Linked DNA regions of Caenorhabditis elegans. The protein of the gene in region 1 interacts with the protein of each later gene in a pairwise test. Each region holds a gene or a part of one and is shown on either strand. Other genes may lie near its edges.

What was found. Proteins that work in one complex are often made in the same cells at the same time.
Region 2: the proteins of rsa-2 (region 1) and ifb-2 interact in a two-hybrid assay, tested with the Caenorhabditis elegans proteins (one large-scale study listed by BioGRID).

Annotation. Positions count from the first base shown.
Region 1 is NC_003281.10:11,061,631-11,069,299, reverse strand, and holds rsa-2 (Regulator of spindle assembly protein 2), read right to left. Parts: upstream 5,822-7,669; 5' UTR 5,745-5,821; coding exon 5,626-5,744; intron 5,572-5,625; coding exon 5,522-5,571; intron 5,428-5,521; coding exon 5,179-5,427; intron 5,128-5,178; coding exon 4,748-5,127; intron 4,212-4,747; coding exon 4,009-4,211; intron 3,925-4,008; coding exon 3,696-3,924; intron 3,532-3,695; coding exon 2,473-3,531; intron 2,463-2,472; exon of another isoform or gene 2,375-2,462; intron 2,274-2,374; exon of another isoform or gene 2,202-2,273; intron 2,147-2,201; coding exon 1,679-2,146; intron 744-1,678; coding exon 648-743; 3' UTR 541-647; downstream 1-540. Other genes in the region: W09D6.1 (AMP-dependent synthetase/ligase domain-containing protein), read right to left, coding at 1-18, 100-202, 249-442; spat-2 (Protein lilliputian), read right to left, coding at 7,459-7,490. UniProt on the Caenorhabditis elegans protein: Recruits rsa-1 and, thereby, phosphatase let-92/paa-1 complex to the centrosomes. Recruits sys-1/beta-catenin to mitotic centrosomes during the first embryonic cell divisions.
Region 2 is NC_003280.10:5,748,578-5,754,508, forward strand, and holds ifb-2 (Intermediate filament protein ifb-2), read left to right. Parts: upstream 1-1,622; coding exon 1,623-1,686; intron 1,687-2,664; coding exon 2,665-2,858; intron 2,859-3,144; coding exon 3,145-3,266; intron 3,267-3,311; coding exon 3,312-3,671; intron 3,672-3,724; coding exon 3,725-4,144; intron 4,145-4,239; coding exon 4,240-4,290; intron 4,291-4,378; coding exon 4,379-4,456; intron 4,457-4,505; coding exon 4,506-4,529; intron 4,530-4,877; coding exon 4,878-5,025; intron 5,026-5,078; coding exon 5,079-5,186; intron 5,187-5,236; coding exon 5,237-5,401; downstream 5,402-5,931. Other genes in the region: F10C1.8 (LTD domain-containing protein), read left to right, coding at 5,903-5,931. UniProt on the Caenorhabditis elegans protein: Cytoplasmic intermediate filaments provide mechanical strength to cells. Not essential protein.

The sequences.
Region 1 (7,669 bases):
TTGAGCGATCCTAGATACCTGAAATGTCAGATTATTGAATTTTTTGAGGATTTATTGATTTTTGTTAAATTATCGATTTTTTCACCACGTAGCACTAACATGTTTTCCGTTGAAAACCAGCGTCGTTCGAAACTTCCGCACCACGTCATCAGTATCGCTCGCCGGCGGGCAAAATGTGAACACAAGCTCAAGTCGGAGGCATCTGAAAAATCGATTTTTTCTGGCTGAGTGGGCGGATTGCCACCTACGCAATAACGGCAACAATCGCGTCGAGACCTCTTTCAATCGATATGAAAACCACGTCGGAGCCGGTGATCGCGCGGCAATTTGAATTCCTGAGAATTTCCGTGAAATTATCGATTTTCTCGAAAATATCCTCCGCCGGAATTGTCGCGTTGCAACCCACATCGATAATTTTCAAATTCCGATTGATTTCCGTCATTTTCTGTGAATGTTTTTTTTTGGGAATTTTTCGGCATATCGATTTTTCCAGTATATGTTCAGCGCTTTTTCGCCTTAAAAGTGTGTGTGAAAATAAAAATCAATAAATAAAATAGTTCATAAAATAGCTAGTAGAATAGTAGAGACCATGAATGATATTGCCGATAATAGTGATAAATAGGCGAAAAAAGTATTTAATTAAAAGCCTAAACATCGGTGACCGTCGCGTCGATTTCAGATTCCAGCACCATTTGTCCCAGCTTCTCCTTTTCCGTCGCATATACCTCGTTGGCTTCGTTGATCTGAGAGAAAAATGGTTGAAACTAACGAAAAATCGATTTTTGATTAAAAAAAAATTAGGCAACTTTTTTAAAGGGAGTGCACCCAGTGGGGAAATTGCTTTAGAACATGCCCATGGGGTCACAATGACCAAATATCATGATAAAAAAATTCGAAAAAATTTTCTAGATTTTATATGACTTTTTGAAAATTGGAAAAATCTCAGTTTTCCCCTAATTCCTTTTTAAATTTCCGCCAATTGGATTCGTTCGGTGGAGCACACTTGCATTATTTTTATTAATTTATTTTATTTTTCTCATTAATTCACTGATTTTCTTCATTTTTTGTGTATTTTTATCGGAAAGACAAAGAAAAATGCAAGATAATTGCAAATTGCTCATTAAAAAATCACTGAAAATGCGTAAAACTGTGAAACATGCTAATTTCAGGCTTGTTGTCGTCAGAACTCATAGTTTTAAAGCTTTACCCGTTTTCAGTGATTTTTTAAACAAACAATTTGCATTTATCTTTATCTTTCCGATAAAAATACACCAAAAATGAAGAAAATCAGTGAAATAATGAGAAAAAAATAAAATAAATTAATAAAAATAATGCAAGTGCGCTCCACCGAATGAATCCAATTGGCGGAAATTCAAAAAGGAATTAGGCAAAAACGGAGATTTTTTCAATTTTCAAAAAATCATATAAAATCTAGAAATTTTTTTTGAATTTTTTATCATGATATTCCGTCATTGTGGTACCATAGGCATGCTTTAAAGCAATTTCCCCACTGGGAGCACTCCACCTTGAAACAAAAAAGCTATATTTTCTTTAAAAAAATTGAATTTTCCCGCCAAAATTTTTCACCGAAATTTTGAATTTTCGTCGCTTTTTTTTCCGATTTTTGTATAGATTTTGTGAGATTTTGTGAGATTTTTCACATTTTCACGTTCCGTACCAAATTCTTATTCGCATAACGTGCGGCGATAACTGTCATCTGCACTTGTTGCCATTGATATTTTTGTTTTTCGGCGTCCGGTAGACCTCGGCGTACATCATATCGATAATCCAACTCCATTGGCATCATTCCTTCAAGTTTCTTGCTCATTTTCACATCGGTGCACCATTCCGATTTTCTCGATTCGGGTCCGTGCTCGGTTTGGAGCATTTTCAACGCCTCCGCTTCAAACGCGATTTCCTCATTTTCAGTCATTTTTCGGCCAAATTTCAGGTAGTTTTTATTGATTAAATCCACCACCGCACTCCAAATAAGTATGGAAAACGAGTCGAAATACTCGAAATTGTCGTCGAACTCCATTTGAACATCTTTAAATGAGGGTGGCTGCCAAACATCTTGCGCTGTAAGCCAGTCGACTCCGCGGAGCTCGTCCTGAAGCTCAATTGCCTTTTGAACCATTATTGGGCTCTGAAAAAGTGCGAAATTAAACATTTAGATGTAATAAGAGAAAACAAAAAAGAATGGGCCGAACCGGGGATTGAACCCGGGACCTCTCGCACCCAAAGCGAGAATCATACCACTAGACCATTCGGCCACGGTTTCCCAAGCTTCTTGGGTGTGTAGACATTTCTGTTGAACAAATTCCGCAGAAATTGACACATGGTGCATCATGTCTTTGCCTCCTGGGAAGCAAAGTTTCGCGGCCGAATGGTCTAGTGGTATGATTCTCGCTTTGGGTGCGAGAGGTCCCGGGTTCAATCCCCGGTTCGGCCCATTCTTTTTTACACACTTACAATCTCTTTCAAGAACTCTCGCTGACAATATTCCTCCATATCCATTCCAGCAAACGTCGTTTCATCGGCTTCCGCCGGCACTCTTGGTGTATCTGTCACTGCTGCCGACGCCGCCGCCGGCGGCAAATTGTCAAAAATCGATTTAAGCCGCGGTGCCGGCGAGTTGTCAAGCAAGAATCCCGAATCGTCAGCGCTATCATTATTGCCACGTGGCTCCAGCTCTTCCTCCAGGCTCTGTTCGAATTCATCGTGATTCACAAAGCGTTTCGTCTCGTCTTGCTCGTCCTCCGGATCTATGATTAGGCCCAGTTTTTCGGGCTCTTTGTGCTCCTCAATTTCATGCTCAAATTGTGTAGCATTCGGGTCCTCCGATCCACCGGATGAGTCTTCTCCGTTGTCTGAAGCGACTAGAGTTTCCGGGGATTTGGAATCAGAATGCTCGGAAACCACTTCCTCCAGATTCTCTGATTCTGTAGTGACTGATACCTCAGACACCACGGGAATCTCCAATTCCATGGATTCAGATTCAGATTCCTGAGCTTCCATCGATTCTCTCTCCTTCTTAACTTGCTCCAAATAGTGCGAAAGTCCTGCAGAAAGTCGCCGCGCCGATTCTGAATCCAGAGAAACTCGGCCACTACGTGGCGTCGTCTCTTCCACAGTGGACGGGAAGCTTATATCAGTCTTCAGACGGGAAAATGGCTCGGCGACAGTCTCCAGGCTCTCATTGTGCAGTGAAATGCTATTGAGCATACTATCAAACTCGGCAATCGTCGACACGGGCGCCGTCATCGAAAGTGTCACTGGTGGCCGCTGAGGTTCGGCGGAAACTTCGGCCAGCACCGGTTCAACCACAGGCGGTGTAGTCTGCGAGGACGAGTTGTGTTTCTCCAACAATTGTGAAAGATCCAACGGTTCAACACCAATTCTTCGGGGACTCGTCTGAGTCATTGCAGACTCGGCGAGCCGTGACGTCATTTGTGTCGATGCTTCTCTCATTGAAGGGGGCGGGGCTGCGTCCGACGATGATTGTTGGTTCAGTTGTGATGATGGATTGATCTACAAAAATCAGATTTTTTGAGATTTCTTGAAAAGATCCGCCTATTTTTATGAAATTAGCCAATAAAGGGGCGGGGTTTCATCCGCCTATTTTAAGCGATTTGAAATTCTCTTAAAATAGGCGGATTTTTAAAAGAAATTTGCCAAAAAACGGCTTAATTTACCTTAACAGCTATGCTCTTTCGACTCGTGTTAAGTGATCGATTGAGACTTTTGCTGTTTCTGTGCAACGTGGCGACATTTCGAAAATGGTCGATTGTGATCTTCATTTTTCGCGCCAATTCCAGCATTTCACGGGCGGTTTGAATGTCGAATTCGCGAAACGGCAACGCCATCCAGTTGTCGATGGAGCGCAAAAGCCGCTGATTGTACGGATCGCCGGAGAATGGTTGGCTGTAAACAAAAACCTTAAGAAGCCAAGATATGGGCGCGGAGCCTAAAGAGCAAAAAAATCAAATTTTTTCTTGGAATTTCTACCTTGAAACGAGTTGATGTATAGCCAATTGTGCTTGAGTAAGCTTATCAATTCGATCCTTTAATTCCTGAATGACCGCCCGTTTTTTTGCGTTCTGCGTCTCCACTTCTATGAGTTTCCGTACAGCCTCTGCTTCATTTCGTCGTTTTTTTGCCTCTTCAGCAATTATTGGTGATCTATTAGCGGCCGCGAGATTCTGTAAGAACTTTGGCGACGGTTATGTAGATCAAACATCCGATTTTACGCGCAAATTCAAATTTCAGCAAATTTTTGGTAGGAAATATTAATTTTTAATTGTAAGTGTGTGTTTTTATTTTATTTTTTTAGAATTTTAAAGTCTTTCGGTGTAAAAATTCAATTTTCTGTCGATCACATGCTGCAACTGCGCTCTGGTGCTAATTTATCATTGGAGCGCATTTACAGTAAGTTTCAGCTCAAAATTGACAGAAAAACGTGATTTCTGCTCAAAAATCTGGGAATTGAGTGAAAAATTAAAATTTCCCGCCGATCGCATGTTGCAACTGCGCTCCAATGTCAAATTCGCATCAGAGCGCACTTGCATTATGCGATCGGTGGGAAATGTGAATTTATACAGATGTTTTTTTCATTTTTTGACAATTTCGAGCGAAAAATATGGATTTTTAATTCAAAATTGGCGAAAAAAATCCAATTTTTCGGCGGAAACCCCCAGGAAAAATCGGGTTTTACTGATTTTTTCGAGAAATTTTCCAATTCCTGTACCTTGATGCTCTCCAGCTTTGTCATTTGACGTTCAACACCAACAACAACTCGATCCGAATACTGTAGCTGAATTTGATGCGTCGCGACGAGGGTATCAACATATGAGGTGCGACGAATCGGTGTTTCCGTGGTTTTTTTCACCAAAGGCGACTCAATACGTGGCACACGCGGCTTCAAAGTGTCAATCGGTGGCGGTTGGGATGAGCTACGTGTCACTTTGGCTCTGGGCTCCAGCTGCTCCGAGCTCTCCTGAATCGTCTGCTGACGGGCTTCATGGGGTGAGTGGCCGGAGATCATGAGCTCCTGCATTCTTGAAAAGTTTTCCTCCATTTTCCGGCTCAGACAAGACGTGTATTGCTCTGATAACGGGGTTCTTGGCACTGAAAATTATGAAAATTAGGTTTTTTTTTGAAAGAAATTCAAAAAATTACAATATCTTGGCGGTTTTGAAGACACCGGCGTCGCATCACTGCTACGTGGCTTTTGTGACTTTTTCGACGTGGATGGAGTGACAAATTCGTCATCGGCGGGCTCCGGTGTGAAGTATTGATCGCTGGACGGGGAGGCTTCTGGGGTTGCGGAGTTGCGGCGGCGGGCGATTCGTAGATCACGAGCTTTATCTTTAAGCCGACGATCTTCGTCGTAACGTTCGTAGTCTTCTCGTGTTGGTTGGGGGTTTGCTGGAAATTTAAAAAATTTTTTAAATTAACAAAAAAATTTCAAAAAAACCATTTTTCCTCATTTTTCCCCAATTTTTTCCCAAAGAAAACCTACCCATTGATACAAAAACCGGCTTCTCGCCTTCCTCCATGTTTTCCTTGTTTCTGAAACTCAGAAAATAAATAAATGGTTGCCATGGGGAATTTCCCCCTGCTTACCTTATTTTTTCGTGGTGATCGCGATATTTCGGCTCGAGGAGCACACTTTTCGCGGGTTTTTCGTCGTTTTTTGCGAGCCACGACTTGAAACTGCCCTTAAATACAGGAATTTTCGACATTACGCGGGGAAAATAGTGCGAAAAATTGATTTCGCGTTTGAATTAAAGAATATTTTCGCGGCGACGCCAGTGTGTGCAAACACCGTCACGCGAAAATGCAGACGGCGAGAGAGTGTGGGGAGACGAGGAGACGCAGGGTTTTCTTTGCTGTTTCTTTGTTGATTAATTGCAGATTTTACAGGATTCTCGGGTCAAAAATAGCGGAAAAGTGGGAAAAAAAACTTGAAAACCCTTAAAAATCAGTATAAAATTGATAAATTATTAAATATACAGCTTCTAAACAGTTTCAAGTCAAAAATCAGATTTTTCAAACTAAAAATGATTTTTACCATTTTTGAAACCAATTATTATTATTAATTACCCAAATTCGATAAAAACTCGCTCGAAAACCGAGATTCCTACATTTCGCAAAAATTTCAGTTCCGAAAAATGCGCGCGTCACGCTTGCAACCGGTAGGACATGCCCACTTTTCCGTGCGCGGTCTGCAATTTTTATCCGATTTCAAAATTTTCTGTAATTTCCAGACAAAGAAACGTCCACTTTTATTATTCCAAAGCGGAAAATCATATAAACGGGGGCTTTTTCTAAACAAACAGACAATTTGGGGGCGGTGGGGCGGAGTCAACACGAAAATTTTAAGTAAAGAAAAAATTGGGATTGAAAATAATAATAATATGAATATTGAAGTCGAAATGTGTGCAGGAAAGGGGCGGAGTATAATTTAACGGGGAAAAATTGTAGAAAACGGGGGGCGGAGAAAGGCAATGAAATGGGCGGTGCTTAAAAACGGGGGCGGGGCTTATGTGTGTGAGACATCACAAAGATATTTAAAAATCGGGAGAGATATGAAAATTGTGACTTAAACAGAGAACGGGGGACCCGATATATATATATTTCATTTTCAACATTTTGAAAATGAATTTGTTGAAATTTTGGGAAATTTTTGAAAAAAAATCACATTTTTTGAAATTTTCAGGAAAAAAAGTTGGAAAATTTTAATAATTTTAGCTTGAAATTTTATTAGAATTGTTTGAAAATTCAGATTTTTGCAGATTATTCCCAAATTTTGGTTGAAAAATGGCTAAAAACTCAAAAATAAAATCTACCAAATTTCAGAATTTCTTAGAAAATAGTGGATGATCGTATGAAAATTTGTGAATTTTGGCTAAAAACTCGAAATTTTTGATAATTTCAGCTGAAAATGAACTAAAAAAAAAAAATGTAAAATCCGCAAAAATCTCAATTTTCTAACAAATTTTGCCTGAAAATTCGATTAAAATCGCCAAATTTTAAATTAAAAATTTCCGGGGGAAAAGGGGGAATATTTCACAAAATTGGGGAATTCTTGGGGGCAAAAAAATGGAAGAAAAAAAACTCGCAACATTTCGAAGAGGAACACATGATAACAGGGAAATTATACCAGAATTACGTAAGGAGAAGAGAGATTTTTTGTTTTTTGGAGAGAGAGTTGTTGTGTGGGGGAAAGATTTTCAGAATTGGATGGAAGGGGTCAAATTTGAATATTTTTGAATGAGGGGAAAGCAATGGGACAAAAAAAAAAGGCAAAAGTGAAGGAAGAACTAAAAATATTTCAATTCATATATAAAAATGATTGAGCGGTGATGATGATTATGATTGGAGAGAGGAATTATAATTAATAACAAACAAAAAAACAAAATCAACGATAGAATTCTCGATTGATTCATTAGACGTTTATTTCTTCTTTGGGACGAATGTGATGGGCTCTGAAACAAATTGGATTATTTTTGGGGTTTTAAGAGAATTTTTCAAGTTTTTGGGATTTTTAGGACAAATTTCCAATTTTTTCTGGTTCTGGACTTTTTGAAGATAATTTTTCGGTTTTTTTGGCATTTTTAAGATAAATTTTCAATTTTTTTTTGGACTTTTTGAAGATTTTAAAAAG
Region 2 (5,931 bases), on another chromosome or scaffold:
GAAACTTGAGCTCTACTAGGAATTGGAGTACGCTGTTTTATCAGTTCCAACCAAGCCTGCCACACATCTGTAAACAAATGTTAGAGAATATGCGAAATGAAGAACACGATAAATGAAGTTTGAATGAAAGTACAAAGACTAGTCGTGAGGACTGAGCAAGATGTATGGAGTTGTAGAGAATACCAAAAGCAAAATTCTTTAAACATCCTGTTTTTTGGTATTCATACTTTGGCTAATTTTATAAAGTAATTGACCACAAAAATGAGAAAGAAGCATAAACGGAAGAATTGTATTAAAAAAACAAAACACTGTATTTCCAAAAATTTCAAAATTCCAATTCATGCTGATTAGCAGCTCGCGGACTTTAATATTTGAAAAAGAAGAGGTGTGGTTGATTTTTAGTTTTTTAAAGGTTAAATAATTAAAGCGATGTTTCGAATTATTTTGGAATTCCAATCATAGTTTCAATTCGATGCTTTTTCAATTTCGAAAATGCACAATTTTTAAGAACTTTTTAGCAAGGGTTTTATGACTCACAAAACTCTTTAATCAGAATAAAATGTTAACCAGAACACTTGAAAAGTTACGCTCCGCCGGTAGGTAGGTCTTCCTACCTACCTAGTTATATTCGTCTGCAATTTGGCACAAAATCTAGAGGTACAAGACAGCGCGTAGGTAACCTTCGAGTTTTTTGTGCCTACAAGGGAATTCGTTCACTGTTGCAAGATTCACCTATTTTGTTGTTATCAAATTATTGCGATGAACTTTTAAGGAATTACTGTAGCTGTTTTTTTGTGAAAAATAACACAGATGGTCTTTTTAAGATAAGACACCTCAAGTTCAGTAGACAACAAGAGTAAACAAAGTTTTTTCAGGAAATACTTGTAGCTTTTGAATTACAGTTTAAGAGAGAATTGAATTGATGAAGAGATTTTGATTGAACCTTCACATCTTCAAAATTCTAGAATTTTTAAAATTAAACATTTTTGAATATGACAATACAAGCGAAAATATTCTGTCAATTAAATCCAGATAAATTTGTAAATCCTTAAAAATTAAATTGAAAGGAATCTAGAAGACAAAATGTTTCAGTTCTGAAATATTCCATTGTTGCCGATTATGTTCTGTTGTAACCTTATTAACATTTCATTCGTCATAGTTTCTAGTAAAAAGTTTCAGACTTTGCGGTTCTTAACACCTTTTTTCAAATGTCAACTTCCTCATCATTCCCAGTCAAATGTCATTTTGTTTCATAAATACAAAGAATGTAAGAAAGAGTAGTTTCTTTTTTTCTTCTTTTCACCCCCTCCCCTCCGTTTTCCATCTCTAAACTCGGACTGATAAGTCACCATAAAAGAGAGTGGAATCGAGCATTGCCAACTGATAACCCTCTTTCTTTGCTCTCTCAAAATGCCATTGTAAAATCAAACCTACTACTCCGCGTTTTGTACGGTTTGGTGTTAAGACTCTTTATTTTTTTGAAGATTGAACGTTTATTATTGGTGTTGGTTTTTTAACTGCTGAAAGTGTGAAAATAACATTGTTTTCTTATTCTATTTATTTTTATCTTCTTTTGTTATTAACATCTTTTGTTTTATTTTCAAAATTTTAGCGACTTCATCATGTCGGCGGTTAGTTATTCGATGCACAGAACCACCACAACTACATCCTCCTCATCACACGGAGGTAAGCACTTTTCTTCAAATTTCCAACAGTCACACGACCTCGAGAGTTTTCTCCGAGGAATCCATAATATGGTGACACTAGTTTGTCTGAAATTGATCTCCTCCATTGTCTCAATCTTTTTCTTTGTTTCAAATCTCTTTGTCGGCTTTATTGACACCGTTGTGAACTCCTTTCACACATTGCCGACTAATCCTAGCAGTTTCTCTAGATTATGGGCTTAAGTTAAAATAACTGATGTTTAAATAAAACCATAAGTTTCGACAAATTAAACTCGATCTTAACTTTTAATTCACGATATCAATAAAGAATTGAGACGAGAACTGCAGCGTAGGGACAAACTGCAAAATGGCCTGTTCCTAGATGGTAGCATATAATACTTTTCAGTGAAAAATCAGATTGTTTATGACAAGATAGATCACTCTTATAAGTAGGAATTTTCTGATTGCTAGCCCAAATTGTGAAAAAAAAAGAATAAATATGCCACATTTAACCAATTTACTCTGCTCCTGCTTTGCATTACTTTGACAAATCATATCTCGATTGTTATTATTTCATCAAATAATTTTCAACACTAAAATCACTCTACATTGTTATAATTAAACAATTTTGATGAAGCCTACAACAATTAATATGAGCTGTCAAAATGAAGCAGTGGGAGTGCAAGACTAATAGGAAAAACGGTATATAACACGGAAAATTGTATATCTTAAATCTCAAAGTACAACATTAGCTGTAACTAACTCTATTTTTTAAAATTTCTATTTTAATATTGTGAAAAAATTTGGAAAACAGAGGTTTATTCAGACTTTTGTTTTACATATTCGTACTAAATTAATTTTTAAAAAATGAGTTTGTATTGCTTTTTCCAAACCCTTCACAATAAGACACTTTCACAAAATTTAGTTTATAACAATAAAAAATATGGTCCTTCTTGGAGCACTGCTTAAACATCGGAACACAGTTTACATAATATTTCAGGTGTCTCAGCCGGCCATGCCGCTGAGGAGTTCGTTGCCTCTGCCGAGCGCGAGAAGCAAGAGATGCAGCAGTTGAACTCTCGCCTTGAAGTTTACATCAGCCGTGTCCGTCAACTTGAGGATCGTAACAAGGAGCTTGTGATTGAATTGGACACCCTCCGAGGATCACTTGGAAATGACATCGGACAGATCAAGGTTTGTGCCCCGAAATTACAGGAGAATCTGAAACACTTTTAGTTGTTGACACAATTTCTCTCTTATCAGATAATATCAATTCTTCTCAAACAAAGCGCCCGTTGCCAAATGTGCAGGCGTAAGGAATTTAAAAGAGAAACTGAAAATGGCACTGATAAGATGACAAGTAGTGCTCTGGAGGAAATGGGTGTGTATGTGTGTGTTAAGATTGCCAATAAAATTAATTGAAATTGATCTTGAGGGGTTAATAATGTTGCATCAGAATAATAAACTCAACGTTTTGTAGTTCAAATTCAACGATTCGTTGGTCAAAGTTCGCCGTGAGATCTCAGAAGCTCATTCTGGAACTATTGGAGTTGAAGTTAAGGTCGACAGATTGAGAGATGATTTGAATGACTACAGACACAGGTAACAATTTATTTGCATATTCCATTCTAATGGCAAATATTTCAGATATGAAGAGGCCCGTCGTGAAGTTGAGCGTGAGAAGACCACTTGGGGAGGAGCTATTTCACAAGCACAAGCTGAGCTTGACACAAACAAGTCCCGCTATGCCGCCATTTTGGACGAGGAAAAGAGACTTTATGCTGAACAAGATCAACTCTATCTTCAATTGGCTGCCGCCAAGGATGAGCTTGACGCCGCAATTGTTGATCGCCGCCGCCTTCAAGCTGAGGAAGATGACCTCAAGATTGAGCTGGAATTCTTGGGAAGAATCCACTCTCAAGAAATCACTGAGCTTCGCACTCTTCTTGCTCAAGCTCCAGCCGACACAAGAGAGTTCTTCAAGAATGAATTGGCTCTTGCTATCAGGTTGGATTCAAAAAAAATGATATAGTTTTATTGTCTAATTTAAATTATTTCAGAGAAATCAAGGCTGAATACGACAAGATCATCCAAACCACCAGAGTTGATCTTGAGACAATCTTCCAGAGCAAGATTAGCGCCGTCGAATCATCAATCGTCTCCAAGAACGAGGCTGCCGTTTTCCGTCAAGAGGAGATCAGAAAGATGAACGAGAGCATCACCACATTGCGAGCCAAGCTCAGCGAGCTCGAAGCCCGTAACTCTGCTTTGGAGAGAGAAGCCAACACACTCCAGATTCAACTCGGAGAAGATCAAAGAGCTTACGAATCAGAGCTTCACAAGAGAGACAATGCCCTCCGATTTATGCGTGAAGACTGCCAGACTTTGATTGCTGAACTTCAAGCTCTTCTTAACACCAAACAAACTTTGGATACTGAGATTGCCATCTACAGAAAGCTTGTCGAGTCCGAGGAAGGAAGGTAATATAAGTAACAAAAATATCTCTCAAAAAGAGCAACATATACTTTAATTGATTGTCTCATTCTTCCATTTTATCATTTCCTTACTTTCACAGATTCACTCATGTTGGACAGGGGGTCGTTGTCGCCCAGCAGGAGACTACAAGGTTCGGTAGCTATAACCGCTTCATAGACATTAACATACTGCACACGTAGATATTTAGAATCTAGTTTTATTTCCTAGTTGACTTCCAGAACAGAAGGGGATTCCACTCCCGTTGTTTTAAATGATCAGCAATACTCTGACAGTCATCAATATCAGCAATATCCTGAGTAGGAATCTTTAATAGAATCAAGATATATTATATGTAATACCTTTCAGAGTGTATCCGCAAGGAACTTTAAGGTATCCTAGATTGTAGATTAGTTATTCATAGTATAGTTTTCATAGATCATCTCAACATCAAATTGGCAGAGGTACCAATGTACTAGTTTCAGATCAAAGGTTACTCGTAGTGATACAGTAGTTTATAGCTAATTGCTTTCACAATTCATGCTCTTTCACTTGCACTTTTTCTCTTTTTCACGCACTTCCTTATCTCAACACACTGCTTACTTTTCACATCACCTATTTATCATTTTCTTGGCTAACAATTTTTGTTAGTCAGCAAATCTCAAGGCTTTTAGCTGAAAACATGCACTTTCAGCTTAATCTATCCCCGTTAATTTTAAATTGTTATATTAAATTCTACAGATTGGTACCAGTCGAGCAAGATCACTGGGACTCTGGAGAGGTTCAAACTCGTTCCTCATTCAAGAGACACGCTAAGGGAAATGTGAGCATCGTTGAGTGCGATCCACAAGGAAAGTACATCATTCTTGAAAACACCAGTGGATCAGTTGTGAGTTTAGATCTTTATTTTTATTTTGAACATGAAAAATTGGAAAATTGCAGGCCGAAGATGTAAGCAACTTTGAAATCCGTCGTGTTATTGATGGAGTTCAAGCCTTCGTTTTCCGTCTCCCATCTCACTTAGTTATTCAACAACACGGACATCTTAAGGTATTAATTATTATAAAATTAGATATCATATTGAAACCGGAATATTACAGATCTACGGACGCAATTCAGGAGGAATTAACTCACCACCAGACTCAATTGTGATGGAATCTCACCCATCATGGGGACAAGGAGGACAAGTTGAAACATTCTTGTACAATAGTCACGGAATTGAGAAGGCTTCGCACATCCAGACGACGGTCGCTTCTTCCCGTTAAGAAATCTCCATCATCTAATCGATTTCTTTTTCGATGAATTTAAATTTATTCTGAAATGCCCATTGAATCCTTTCCTTGCTGTCTTCACTCCCAAAATCATTCGACGTACATACTTGCTACATTCCAATCCAATTGTTTTTTGAAATAAATTGTTCAATATTGTTTTAGTTCAAAATCATTGATGATTAAAAGAAGTGTACTTATCACGATACTTCCCAAAAAAAATTTCTTGGTCAAAAGTGGGTCACGATAACTCGGTCTAAAACCATTTCTAAAAAAAATTTTTTTCGCTTTTTTTTTCGACAATTGTTTTAAGCCATTTAGTTATGGTTTTCGAAGGTTTTTTATAATAGTAATAATAATTAAAATTAGGAGTGGTTTTGAACCGAGTTGTCGTGACTCGCTCTTGACTGAGACTACATTAAAATACATTCTACAGAATTTTTGGAAATGATTGAACACGTTGCAAGCTGTACATATATTTTTCAGCACTAAGGGAAAATGCAATCCAGAACTATAATACCAAATTC